Linked DNA regions of Caenorhabditis elegans. The gene in region 1 interacts genetically with each later gene. Each region holds a gene or a part of one and is shown in the gene's direction. Other genes may lie near its edges. The genes, in order: atm-1 and lig-4.

Region 1 (5,181 bases):
CGTCGCGATTTTCTACCAAATCGGAAATCTTCTCATCCCGCACATCGTCATGCAGATTCTGCTCGTTTTGTGCTTCCTGGGACTCACATGTGCGACGCTTTATGCGCTTTTCCACGGTGCCACGTTTCAGTTGCTCGTCGTGGTTACAAATCCGCAAATCGCCGCTGATTCCATGGTAAGTGTGGTAAAAAATGAAATTTGTTTCCTTGGGAAATTCCTTCTTTTTCCTCAATTTTTCCTCATTTTTTTGCTTCCAAAAAAAAGACCCATTTTGCGAAAAAAATTTTTTTTTTTCATTAATATATGTATTTTAAATTTTCCAGACAATTCTCCCGGCGCCAATGATCACAACAAACGTGGTTTCCGGATTCCTAGTGGGCCTTCTCGTCATTTTCGCAGTCTCCTACTTGCTCATCGCTGTGCTGAATGTGAGCTTTTCCCATGGCGAGACCCATGTAACTTTAATTTTTGCAGACCTGGTGCATGTACGTCGTCATCGATAGTTACCAGCTTTTGAAGAGCCAGAAACTTCAATCTCGTACTCCGTCGGTCGAGGAGTATTGTGCGCCGAAGACGATTCAACTCTCACTATACCCCAATCAAATCGTTCAGGCCACCGATTTTTAGTCTATATTTTAGACCATTTGTTGAATTTTTCTCGAAAAAATCCGGTAAATTTTTGTGTATATATGTCCCGAAATTCTTCACTTTTATCACATGTGTCAGGCTTTAATTTTTTCATACTTTATTTTCGAATTCTGTACAAAAATCTTTGATATATTCTATTTATTCTTCTCAATTAATAATCACACGATCCATCTTTCCACCCGTCTCGCCACCTTTGCATCACATCTCGACACTCGAACTTTGGTTTTCCGGTTTTTTCGTTGACTTTATTGTGTAGCTGGCACATCCATAGCGCAAACGCCTCGCGGCTTTCCACTTTTGGCGGCGATTCTTTCAGATCTTTTCGGAGATCTTTGGCGCAGAAATCGCAGGGATATGTCTGAAAAATTTAGGCGTTTTTGTGGGAATCTTGAGCTTATTAGCTAACTTTTCCTAGAATAGACATGAAACTTCTGGCTCGATCCTTATCCTCGTCGGTAGGCTTTTCCGGGTAGTAAACCGACATTGTGTGTAGCAAATTCCACGTGGATCTGCCTGAAATTTGAAATTTTTGGTGGAAATTTGAATTAAAAGCGAACCGAGCTCATCCTTGTCTACTGGACATCCGTGCAACTTCGCTCCTGTGCTCGTGCTCGGCGTCGTCTCGGATTCTGCAAAGAACTAAAATAATTGAGATTTTTTGCTCTGGAAATCTAGGGAAATCACCTTTTTTCTTTATTTTTTCAGCCATTTCTCTGCCTTTTTTCATCATATCCTCTACACTGACGCATGCACGACACGGCTTTCCATCTGGACCGATTTCCATTCTGAAATTAATTTTTAAACTTGGTTTTCGTTTCGTCAGTTTTAGAAGCCGTTTTAGGGCGTAAACTTATGAAACTATACATAGTCTACGACAAATCTATAGAAATGCATTAAAAATAGGTCAAAAATGTGAGAAATTGCGCAAAAAATGATGCAAAAACGAAAAAAAATTAACTAAAAACAAGAAATGCAAGTGCGCTCCACTGACACGCGTTAGAGAGCGTAGACGCAGAGAAATCTCGAGATGAGGGAAATCGTGGCGCGCGGGAATCAAGCTTTTTTGAATTGTCTTGATTTTTAAAGCCCAAAAAATAGATTTTTGGCGGATTTTTGGTGGATTTTCTTGCTTTGCAATGTAAAAATTAATTATTTGTTGCATCTAATCACTTTTAACAGAGATTTACAATTTTTTTAGTGGTCTGAACCTGGGAAAATCCTTCAAAAATCAATTTTCCCTACAAAAATTCGTTATTTACCGCATTTTCCGCCCAGCTGATCAAAAATTCTTCTATTTTCTCAATTTATTGATAACACTCGCCCACCTCAAGCATTTTATCACCTGAAACTCGTCACACTTTACAATTTGTTTGCAGAAATATGCGAAAATGAGCGTTACTCAGCTAAAAAATCTGAAACACGCGATAGCTCAGCTTCTGGAGTGGGATGGAACGAAAACGGCGAGAAAGGCAAGTTTTTGGTGGAATTTATCGAAAAAACCTGATTTGTTTTTTTGCAGAAAATCGTCGACGAGGTGGTTCTTCTCTATCACGCTCTGGGAGCGGAGGCATTAAGTGAGGATAACCAGGAGATATATGATTTGTATGATTTATCTGCACGTATATTCAACTTAGCTAAGAAAGTTAGTTTTTTTTTTGTTAAAAAGTCGTAAACAACAAGTAAATTTAAAAATAAGCATTAAAAAATATTGAGGCTTATGAGAGCAAAAAATTCCAGGAAATCGAAGAAGCCAACCAACAATTCGAAAAAGAACGAAAAAAGGGCACAAGACGAAGCGAAAAACCAGTCCCAACTCCACTTTTCGAGCTATCAATACAACATTTAAAACGTTGCTGTCAGCAGGGAATCGATCACAATCAGGTGCCATGGATAGCATATTGTCTGAAACTACTGGAATTTCCAATCACAATCACCGAAAAATCGATCGAAAACGAGATTTCCAACGTGCTCCTATTGAGCTCCAACGCCTCACAGCTCCATTGGGCCGAGCATGCTCATTTGAGCAGCTTATGGAAATGGATTTGGAGCCGTGTCGAGACCGCCGATATTGGGGCACTCGCCATGAGAAATTATATGGAATTGGCGGCGAACTTGCTGGAAAACGTGGATTACGTGGTTTTCGAGAAGTCGCCTATTGACCTGATGGCGAAAGTGATGGGAACACTGAAGAAAAGTGTGGAAATGGGAAATCCCAAAGAATAGTGCGTGGAAAACGAGTTCTTGAAATAATGTTCAAAAAATTCAAATTGGCTTGGACTTAGGCTTAAGCTTAAGCTTAGATTTAGGCTTAGGCATAGGCTTACAAGGGAAGTATTTCAACTTATTCCCGGACTTCAGAATGAAACCTATGTCATTTCGAAGAAGACTCTTTAAGTAGGTCCCTACAAAAAATTTAGCGGCAGAGGAGCACTTTGACCTGGAAAAAAGTCGCTCTGAAAACTTTTCAGTGCATTTTTTCACGGCTTTCAAGGCCCGTAAAATGGCTCCAAATGCGAATTTTTGTAGATTTTTGAAGATTTCTAGGATGCTCAGGGGCCGGAGAGCACTCGGAATTTTTTTTGGAATTTTTTAAAATTTTCGAAAAAATCTGAAATTTTTTGAATAAGTCCATGGCAAAATTTTTCAGTGAATATATATATATATTTTTTTTAAATTTCAGAAAAGTTGTCAGTTATTTAAGATCAAAATTGGGTGTTTTTACACAATGAAAATTTTTTTGAGATTTTTCGGAACTGCAAAAACCAATTTTGGAAAAAAATCGGCACCCGGAGTCGAACCCCAGTCTTAAAAAATATTAATCAAACTCGCTAACCACTCGGTCATTCAACGACAATTTTTCTTGTAAATGAAATGGATGACAAAAAAACGTGACTCTTTGATATCTACTTAAATATATAGGGACGTGAGAAATAGCTTTGGAAAAGGAGAGGACGCAGAGAAAAATTTTCAGAGCGACTTTTTTCCAGTTCAAAGTGCTCCTCTGCCGCTAAATTTTTTTGTAGGGGCCTACTTAAAGGGTCTTCTTCGAAATGACATAGGTTTCATTCAGAAATCCGGGATTAAGTTGAAATACTTCCCTTGTTAGGCTCACTAGGGAATGACCAGAATAAATGGAGCGATATTCAAAAAAAATATATTGTATCGGAAAGCTGGCATTCTCTACTATAAGAATATGACTGAAATTTTTGCCCGTTCGGGCTGGAAATCTGAAATTTTTACGTCTGAAATTCTACACTGAAATCAGTGCATTTCCTATGGTTAACAGTGGATTTTTGTCTCTGGCGCCAACAGAAGTCTCACCACAATGGTGGAAGGGCGAAAACATCGGTTCGGTGGTCGAGTGGTGAACGCGTTCGCCTCTTGAGCAGAAGTTTGTGGGTTCGGTTCCCATACATGGTTTAACTTTTGGCCTTTTTTATACAAAATTTTCAGAACGGGAAACAAGTATTTAGAACATTTTTTTGAGGGTTTTACATAATTTTTTTGCTTTTTAATTGAACCATAATTACCCTGGAAACTTTTCAGAAATTTTAATTTTTTTCGAAAATTGTCACTTTTTTCTCCACCAAACCCATGAGAAAATTTGATCGAAAAATTTTTTTTTGAAATTTTTTTAAAAATGCATGAAATATTTTAGAGTGTCACAAATAACCTATTTTTCATTATTTTCAATGACCGAATCATTGATTCTGATGCCTTATCAAGACGTTTTACCAAATCGATATTGGCAAAACATCTTGTTTTTGAGGCTCCATATCTCTGCAGGAAAAAATCGCACTAAAAAGTGATCAACTAGAAACTTGTTAAACACAATGTGATCTAAAACATTTCAGTTGAACACTTTTTTGTAAAAAATTTCGTTGCCGAGTTGGAACCAATTGATTTGAGCTTCATTATTTTTGAATATTCTAAATAGTTAAAGATCTATATCTTGGCAACGAAATTTTTTACAAAAAAGTGTTCAACTGAAAAGTTTCAGATTACATTGTGTTTAACAAGTTTTCAGTTAATCACTTTTTAGTGCGATTTTTTCCTGCAGAGATATGGAGCCTCAAAAACAAGATGTTTTGCCAATATCGATTTGGTAAAACTTTATTTTAATTTTTTTTTTTCATATTATTGTTTTTATATTGGGTCAAAACGTATTTGCTCTGCTAAATAGTTAGCTGGCGCTAATTTTTAATTTTATTATTTTCGTATTTTGATAAATTTCACTGAAATTGTCACTTTAATAGTTTACATTCTATTGGTTTTCTTTTATTCAATGTCTTTTGATATCGGAAACGTGATGTTTGCCTTGCATCGTCATTTTCCCAATCCCCTCCCATCAAATCCCTCGATTTCGAGACATGAGCAGAAGGTGGCAGATCATTTGGCAAGCATTATAAAGGAATCTTATTATGGAGATACCAGTGTGGAAGAATCCGAATATTTGGTTCAAGAAGAATATGGCGATTGGGAGCCAGAAGTTTTTGAGGTATGTTGGTTTCGACACTATTAATTGTCATTTAA
Region 2 (6,065 bases), on another chromosome or scaffold:
TTGACGTCTGAAGAGGTGAGTTATTTTTAAAATTGTAGCATCAACAAACTTGATATTCAACTCCTCTTCTTCTTGCCGCAGTCGTTCCGTTTCAATTTGACGTCGTTCTTCCGCTCGCTTTGCAATTTGAACTTCGCTGAGATGACGTGATCGATCGAAATCCACCTATGAAATTTTAAGCTATTTCTCAACCTTAATTCTGGGAAATTAACTAACCTGTAGAGTGGCACGAGGTGATTCGTTTCAGCGAAGAATATGCAATTTTTAAAATTGATATTGAACGTTTAGAAATAATGTGATAGATTTTTCAAAATTGCAAACTAACTCTACTACCCTACTATACCTTGACATTAGCCTGAAAGAACCGTCCATCAATTCGTTTTGCCCATTTACGATTTCTCAGGGAATCCATGGCAGTGGCGAAACCTTTATACTCCATAAATTGCACATATGCTTCAAAAAATACATCCTAAAAATTCAATTCGTTTGATTTTACAAATAAAACACTGCGATACCTGCCCTAATCCGAAACCTTTTTGCTGAATACCAGAGATTTTTGAATTCATTCGAGATCGGAGTGGGTCACAAATTGGAATGTCGACAACTCTAACAGATCCGAACGCTTCCATTGCAACGCGAAGACGTCGTTCAGAAGGAAGATCATTGTAACCATCCTAAAAATGTGTTTGGTGAAATAAATTCGAATGCAATGTTATGGAGCAACGTACGCAGAACCATTTCACTGGAATTCTTGCCAAATAAACTGTATCAGGACGTTCTCCGGGTTTCATCTCGTCCATCTTATGTTTCATAAACCAATCATCCCAATCATGACGACTTGGAAAATCAAGCTTTGCCTCTTTTGTTTTAACTTTCAAGGGCTCAGCAAATCCAGACACTTTCATAGAGAATCCATCGAGAATCTTCATCGTTTTCTGCATGATTCCTAGCGAAAGAAGTTCCGCTTCAAAAATAACACTGTCGATATTGCTCTCACGAACTTTGCAAGAATCCATTTGAATTGGATCAATTGCACGTTTTAGTCTTTCCATGAGATCCCAATTAGATATTGATTGTCCCGGGATCGTCATCTACAATTAAATAATAAATCGATGTAATTATGATAGTTAAAAAAACGTACCCGAGGCAGCACTACGGTAATTTTTATAACAGCCATCGGTTTCAGATACAAGTGTTGCGCCTTGTTAAAATCTTCAGCTTCTGATCCCAGGTAATCGAGAGCAGTGGGAAAATTTCGCGCCATGTTGACAAAAGGTTTAATTTTTTTGATTAAAATTTGCACTAAAATAGAAGAAACATCGATATAAATTGAAGTTCGATCGAATATTCGATGAAAAATTGTTCTTCGAATAAGTTGTCCGAGAGGAGTTCACCACATGGGGACGAGGAATGAATTTGGATTCTAGGCCATGCAGTCTTTTGAAGTCCACTCGGACAAAATATTATGAAACATTTTTGTTGCTGTTTACTTGATTTCACGAGAATTTGTCAGGCTTATTTTTTGTTCCACTATTTTTCGTTCAATTAAAAAAAAATATTGTTAAATTACAGAACATGAGCCACACTCAACAACAAACTGCTTCAAGCACTGAAACCTCTACTGTCACCGTTCCTCCATCTCGAGAACAGAACTTGGTGCTTCATCTTAGTCCAAATCCAGCTCAGCCATCAACTTCAGAACGGCGACACGTAGTTTGGGCCACCGAAACAGTGGATAACGAAGGAATGGGCAAGAAGAAGAGCAAATGCTGTTGTATCTACAAGAAGCCCAAAAATTGGCAAGACTCAAGCTCGGATTCTGATTCGGATTGTGAAACCGGTCATTGTCGTGGCCACGTCGAGCACAAAAAGAACGAAGAGCCGAAGAGCTCTAATTGAGCATATTTCATAATCGATTTTTCCCATTTTACCCCTCATTGTCCGTCTCTTTCCCAAATTTGTGCATACTTTTGTTTATTTATTTTCGTTCGTTATTCCGAATAGATGTTCAATAAAATTATTTTTGAAGAATCTTCATGGCGTCAGATGTGATCTTCGACGAAGTAGTTGACGTCTTCAACAAGATTCGGCGGACTTCAAATGTGAAATCAAAGCAAGCAACCTTTCAGAAAAACTTTGAATCATGGAAAGAAAAGTGTAAGACAATTGGGCGAACTATTACAATGTGACGTTATTCTTTTAAATTCAGGTTCTGATCCATCTGATATGTTTGTCATAATACGGTTCTTCGTTTCGGATTACGAGAGGTTCAGAAAGTTCGACATGGGACCGACTAAGTTGGCAAGCTTTATGGCAAAAACTTTTCACGACGTCAGGGCTGATTACGTATCAACTATCTCGAAAGATGCATCAACAGCAGCTCGTCAGTTGGCTGAAAAGATTTCTGAAGAATATAGAACTGAAAATGATGAATCTACAGTAGTCACGGTTTCCGAGTTGAACGAAATTCTTGATTTCTTAGCGGCGGGACCAATGGATGATGGGAACAGTCAGTTATTGGCTTACACCTTTTCCTATTCAAAAAAAAGTTTTCAGAACGAGATAAGATGTCGAAACTCGTTAAGAGATGCTCTGAAGACGAGTTGGAATGGATTTTCAACGTAATTCTTAAGAACGTTGAATCAGCTCTTGGAGCCCCAAGTAACAGGATTCTCGACTGGATATCGCCTTCTGCTTGTGCTATTTGGGATCAGACACATGATTTGAAAGCAGTTCTAAAAGGAAAATTGGTAGAAAACAAAGGAACCAACGAATTAGGAGAAACAAATGATGATGACGATGAGCATCTTTTTAAAATATGGACACCCATGTTACTTCAGAAGCAGAAAAGAGGTGACTGGTATGCAAATGTGAGTTTTGGAATTCAGTTCATAATTCAAGTACAATTTATTGTTACAGATTGAAAAGTTTGGAGGTCAGAAATTCTTTCTGCAAACAAAATTCGATGGAGAGAATGTGCTGCTTCATAAGAAAGGAAACGAATATCGATGGTTTACAAGAAATAACAATGATTTTTCGAAGGTTTGTTTTTGATTAATAACTTATTACGTATTTGTGGTATTACCCGGACGCGAAGTTTTGCGGCCAAATACGATACCGGGTCTCGACACGACTTTTCTGTAAAATGTAGGAAGGTGTGTGCCTTTAACAATGTACTGTGATCCACATCTAAATAATATGTTTAAAAATTCAGAAATAAAAATAATATTTAAAAAAAGTCGGCTCAAAATATAAACTTAGAAATTTTTTATTCGAAAAATTGTATCCAGTTTGGGATTTTCAGGAATACGGTGATTCGTCAATGGCAATCGGAAAGCTCTCCAGTCGTATACATTCATTTTTCAATAAAGAATGTGAATCGGCAATTTTCAACTGCGAACTCATGTTATGGGATAAGAAAACGAAAAAACTTTGCCGTCACAACGATGCTTCAACCACATCAGATGCTCAAGTTTTATCATTCCGACATGTCAAACCTGACGATAATCAACAATTAAGTGAGTTGAAATGAATTAAATTTATGCAAAAACTTCACATTTCAGCCGTCGTCTTGTTTGATTTACTGTACTTAAATGGAAAACCGTTTTTTGGAGCACCACTTCATCAGAGACTCGAGATGCTCAAGATTGCTCCACTGAAAAAAGAACGAGAAGATACAATTTTTGTGGCGAAACATGAGGAGGGGAGTAAAAAGTTTGTCGAAAGCATTCATAATTTTTGGGTCTTCATCAACTTTTTTTCAGAGAGGACATTCAACAATTCTTTGAAATAGCAATGGCAAATAATGAAGAAGGAATCGTTGTGAAGAGAACAGATAGTGTTTACGTGAAAGGACAAAGGTAAAGCTGGAAATAATATTCTAGTTCAAAGTCTATTCTTTATTTTCAGAAGCGCTTCTAATGGATGGTTCAAGCTGAAACCGTCTGCATCAAAGGACTGTGATCTAGATCTGGCACTAGTTGCTGTACATCCAGGAGCTGGAAGGAATGGAAAAACGCTCTACAGATTTGCGGCTTTTGATGAGAAAACTCAAGATTACAAGCTATGCCTCTCATGCTCTTATGGACTTTCTGACACTGTTCGCGAGGCGATTCGTTTTGAGTATGGGCAACTCCTAGAAGAAGCTCCTGAAGAGCTCACATTTTATGGAAAACGACCGAAAAATATTGCCAGAGGAGATGGTGGATACATTGATTTCGAGCGCTGGCAAGTGATTAAAATCACATCGAACGGTGTTCGCAACGGAAAATTGGTTGATCCTGTTATGAGAGAGTGGAGACTTGATAAGCCTGTTGAACAGGTCAACACTTGGGAAGAATTTTCAGACTATGCAACGGCACGTGTCAAGTTTTAAACGGAAGCGAAGAATTATTATTTGTATTTCAGAAAGTTCAAGAATGTAAATTGGGTGATAACGTGGACAGTGATGAAGAAGATTCTGAAGATAAGAAACCAGATACTTTGAAAGTGGAACGAATTACCCGCAAAGCTATTCATCAATGTAGACATTCAGAAAATTTAATTTTGATTTATTCTTTTAATTTACAGCAGCTCCTGTTCGTCTGAAACGTGCCAAATTAGAGTCAAGTTTGACTGGAATTGAAGTCGCCGTTCTTCAGGGAACATCTGAAACAATTCGACGAAAGTGTGAAGAGATCTTGAAACATTTTGATGCAACTGTAGTGAAAGGAATAAGTGAGTGATTTAGTTTTCAAGTTGAAGTCGTTTTCAACGAGTCATCATACCCCGCACAACAAACTCAAAATTCCATTAGTCACCATTGTGCTCATATCCTTCTACTTATACACAAGCTAGAGACAGTGATAAATAGTACAAGTGTTGAGTCGGCTCAGAGCGGCCAGCTGGTCTGTGTTAGTGGTGTTACTCATCAATTGAAGTGGGCCAAAAGACAAGAAAGATAATCCTGAAACCCTCGAGCGGACAACGTTTAATCTGATTGATTTACAGTTGCGCATATTTTTTGTGTGAATTAATTATGAAATATAATCTTCTAAAAATTAGACTTTTTATCCGATCTTCAATATGAACTTCTTTTTTCAGCTCCATCCACCAAATTATGTATTGCTACTGCTCCAAAATCCACACACCCTAAAACAGCTCAAGCCATCGCTTCGAACTCTTGTACTGTTCTGAAACCCGCCTGGCTCGAACGTTGCAATAAAGATGATCTGATTCAGGCTTGGTTGCCTTCTGATGTGTTTCATGCCATCGAAGGTGGATTCGAGATTCAGGAATAATTTACTAATTTCGATTATATGTGATATCGCTCTTTATTTCCTTTTTGATAGATCTACTTCATGCAGTTTTATTGTTCTCCGCATTCCTGTGAATATGATATTGATCTATGAATAATCTTTTACCAATTTGTCATCTTATATAACAAAATATAACACATCAGTGATTTGTCCAAGAATTGTTTATTATTAGACCGTAAATCATTATTCCTCCGTGGATTGACAGTGTCTCTTGAAAATTGAGATTTTATCAGGATAACTCGTAAGTCCCTTTTTCTCGCCAGATCCCTGAAATTCTTTGGAGACATCTCTGCATCATCATGCGACAACATTCACAAAAATACCAAACAGCAGTAGTGGCATCAGCTACGAAAGAAGAAGAAGAGGAACCGAAGACACCGATCAATTTTCGACAAGAGACACACAACTGACACTCAACTACCACCAGGGGGTGGGCACGGATTACGGTAGTTTTGCATGGCATGAACAATGTTTAGAAAGGAAATTCGAAACATAAATTTAAGGAAAATTAAGAACTGTTCATATTGTCAGTGTTCATTTTTTGATTCCTGCTTTCTACTATCCATACGTTTCAGATTCTTCCGTAAAATAGTTGTATAAACTATTCCAATTGATCTTAGAAACATTTCGCGTATTGAATTTATTTCAGCTTTTTCGTTCAGCTTTTCTGCAATTTCCATATTTCTCTCTTGTAAAACTCTCCGACGTATTTGTAAAAGTGGTCTCGCCACGATCCATAGCACTTAACAAAGATCGTGACCAACATAG

Evidence for each region.
Region 2: changes in atm-1 (region 1) and lig-4 impair growth when combined (synthetic growth defect), as found in Caenorhabditis elegans (one study listed by BioGRID).

The regions. Positions count from the first base shown.
Region 1 is NC_003279.8:181,340-186,520, forward strand, and holds the start of atm-1 (Serine/threonine-protein kinase ATM), read left to right. Parts: upstream 1-2,024; 5' UTR 2,025-2,036; coding exon 2,037-2,117; intron 2,118-2,167; coding exon 2,168-2,290; intron 2,291-2,385; coding exon 2,386-2,870; intron 2,871-3,995; exon of another isoform or gene 3,996-4,070; intron 4,071-5,181. Other genes in the region: F56C11.5 (MARVEL domain-containing protein), read left to right, coding at 1-175, 324-428, 475-627; F56C11.3 (Sulfhydryl oxidase), read right to left, coding at 800-1,006, 1,055-1,161, 1,206-1,277, 1,333-1,432. UniProt on the Caenorhabditis elegans protein: Serine/threonine protein kinase which activates checkpoint signaling in the presence of DNA double strand breaks (DSBs) and other forms of DNA damage induced by ionizing radiation and other genotoxic stresses such as UV.
Region 2 is NC_003281.10:7,519,434-7,525,498, forward strand, and holds lig-4 (DNA ligase IV), read left to right. Parts: upstream 1-2,029; 5' UTR 2,030-2,036; coding exon 2,037-2,157; intron 2,158-2,209; coding exon 2,210-2,509; intron 2,510-2,556; coding exon 2,557-2,870; intron 2,871-2,919; coding exon 2,920-3,042; intron 3,043-3,304; coding exon 3,305-3,518; intron 3,519-3,563; coding exon 3,564-3,714; intron 3,715-3,764; coding exon 3,765-3,860; intron 3,861-3,909; coding exon 3,910-4,361; intron 4,362-4,411; coding exon 4,412-4,522; intron 4,523-4,569; coding exon 4,570-4,716; intron 4,717-4,836; exon of another isoform or gene 4,837-4,922; intron 4,923-5,082; coding exon 5,083-5,279; 3' UTR 5,280-5,437; downstream 5,438-6,065. Other genes in the region: akap-17A (RRM domain-containing protein), read right to left, coding at 1-7, 50-165, 344-469, 516-674, 729-1,091, 1,142-1,264; C07H6.2 (E3 ubiquitin-protein ligase PPP1R11), read left to right, coding at 1,576-1,899.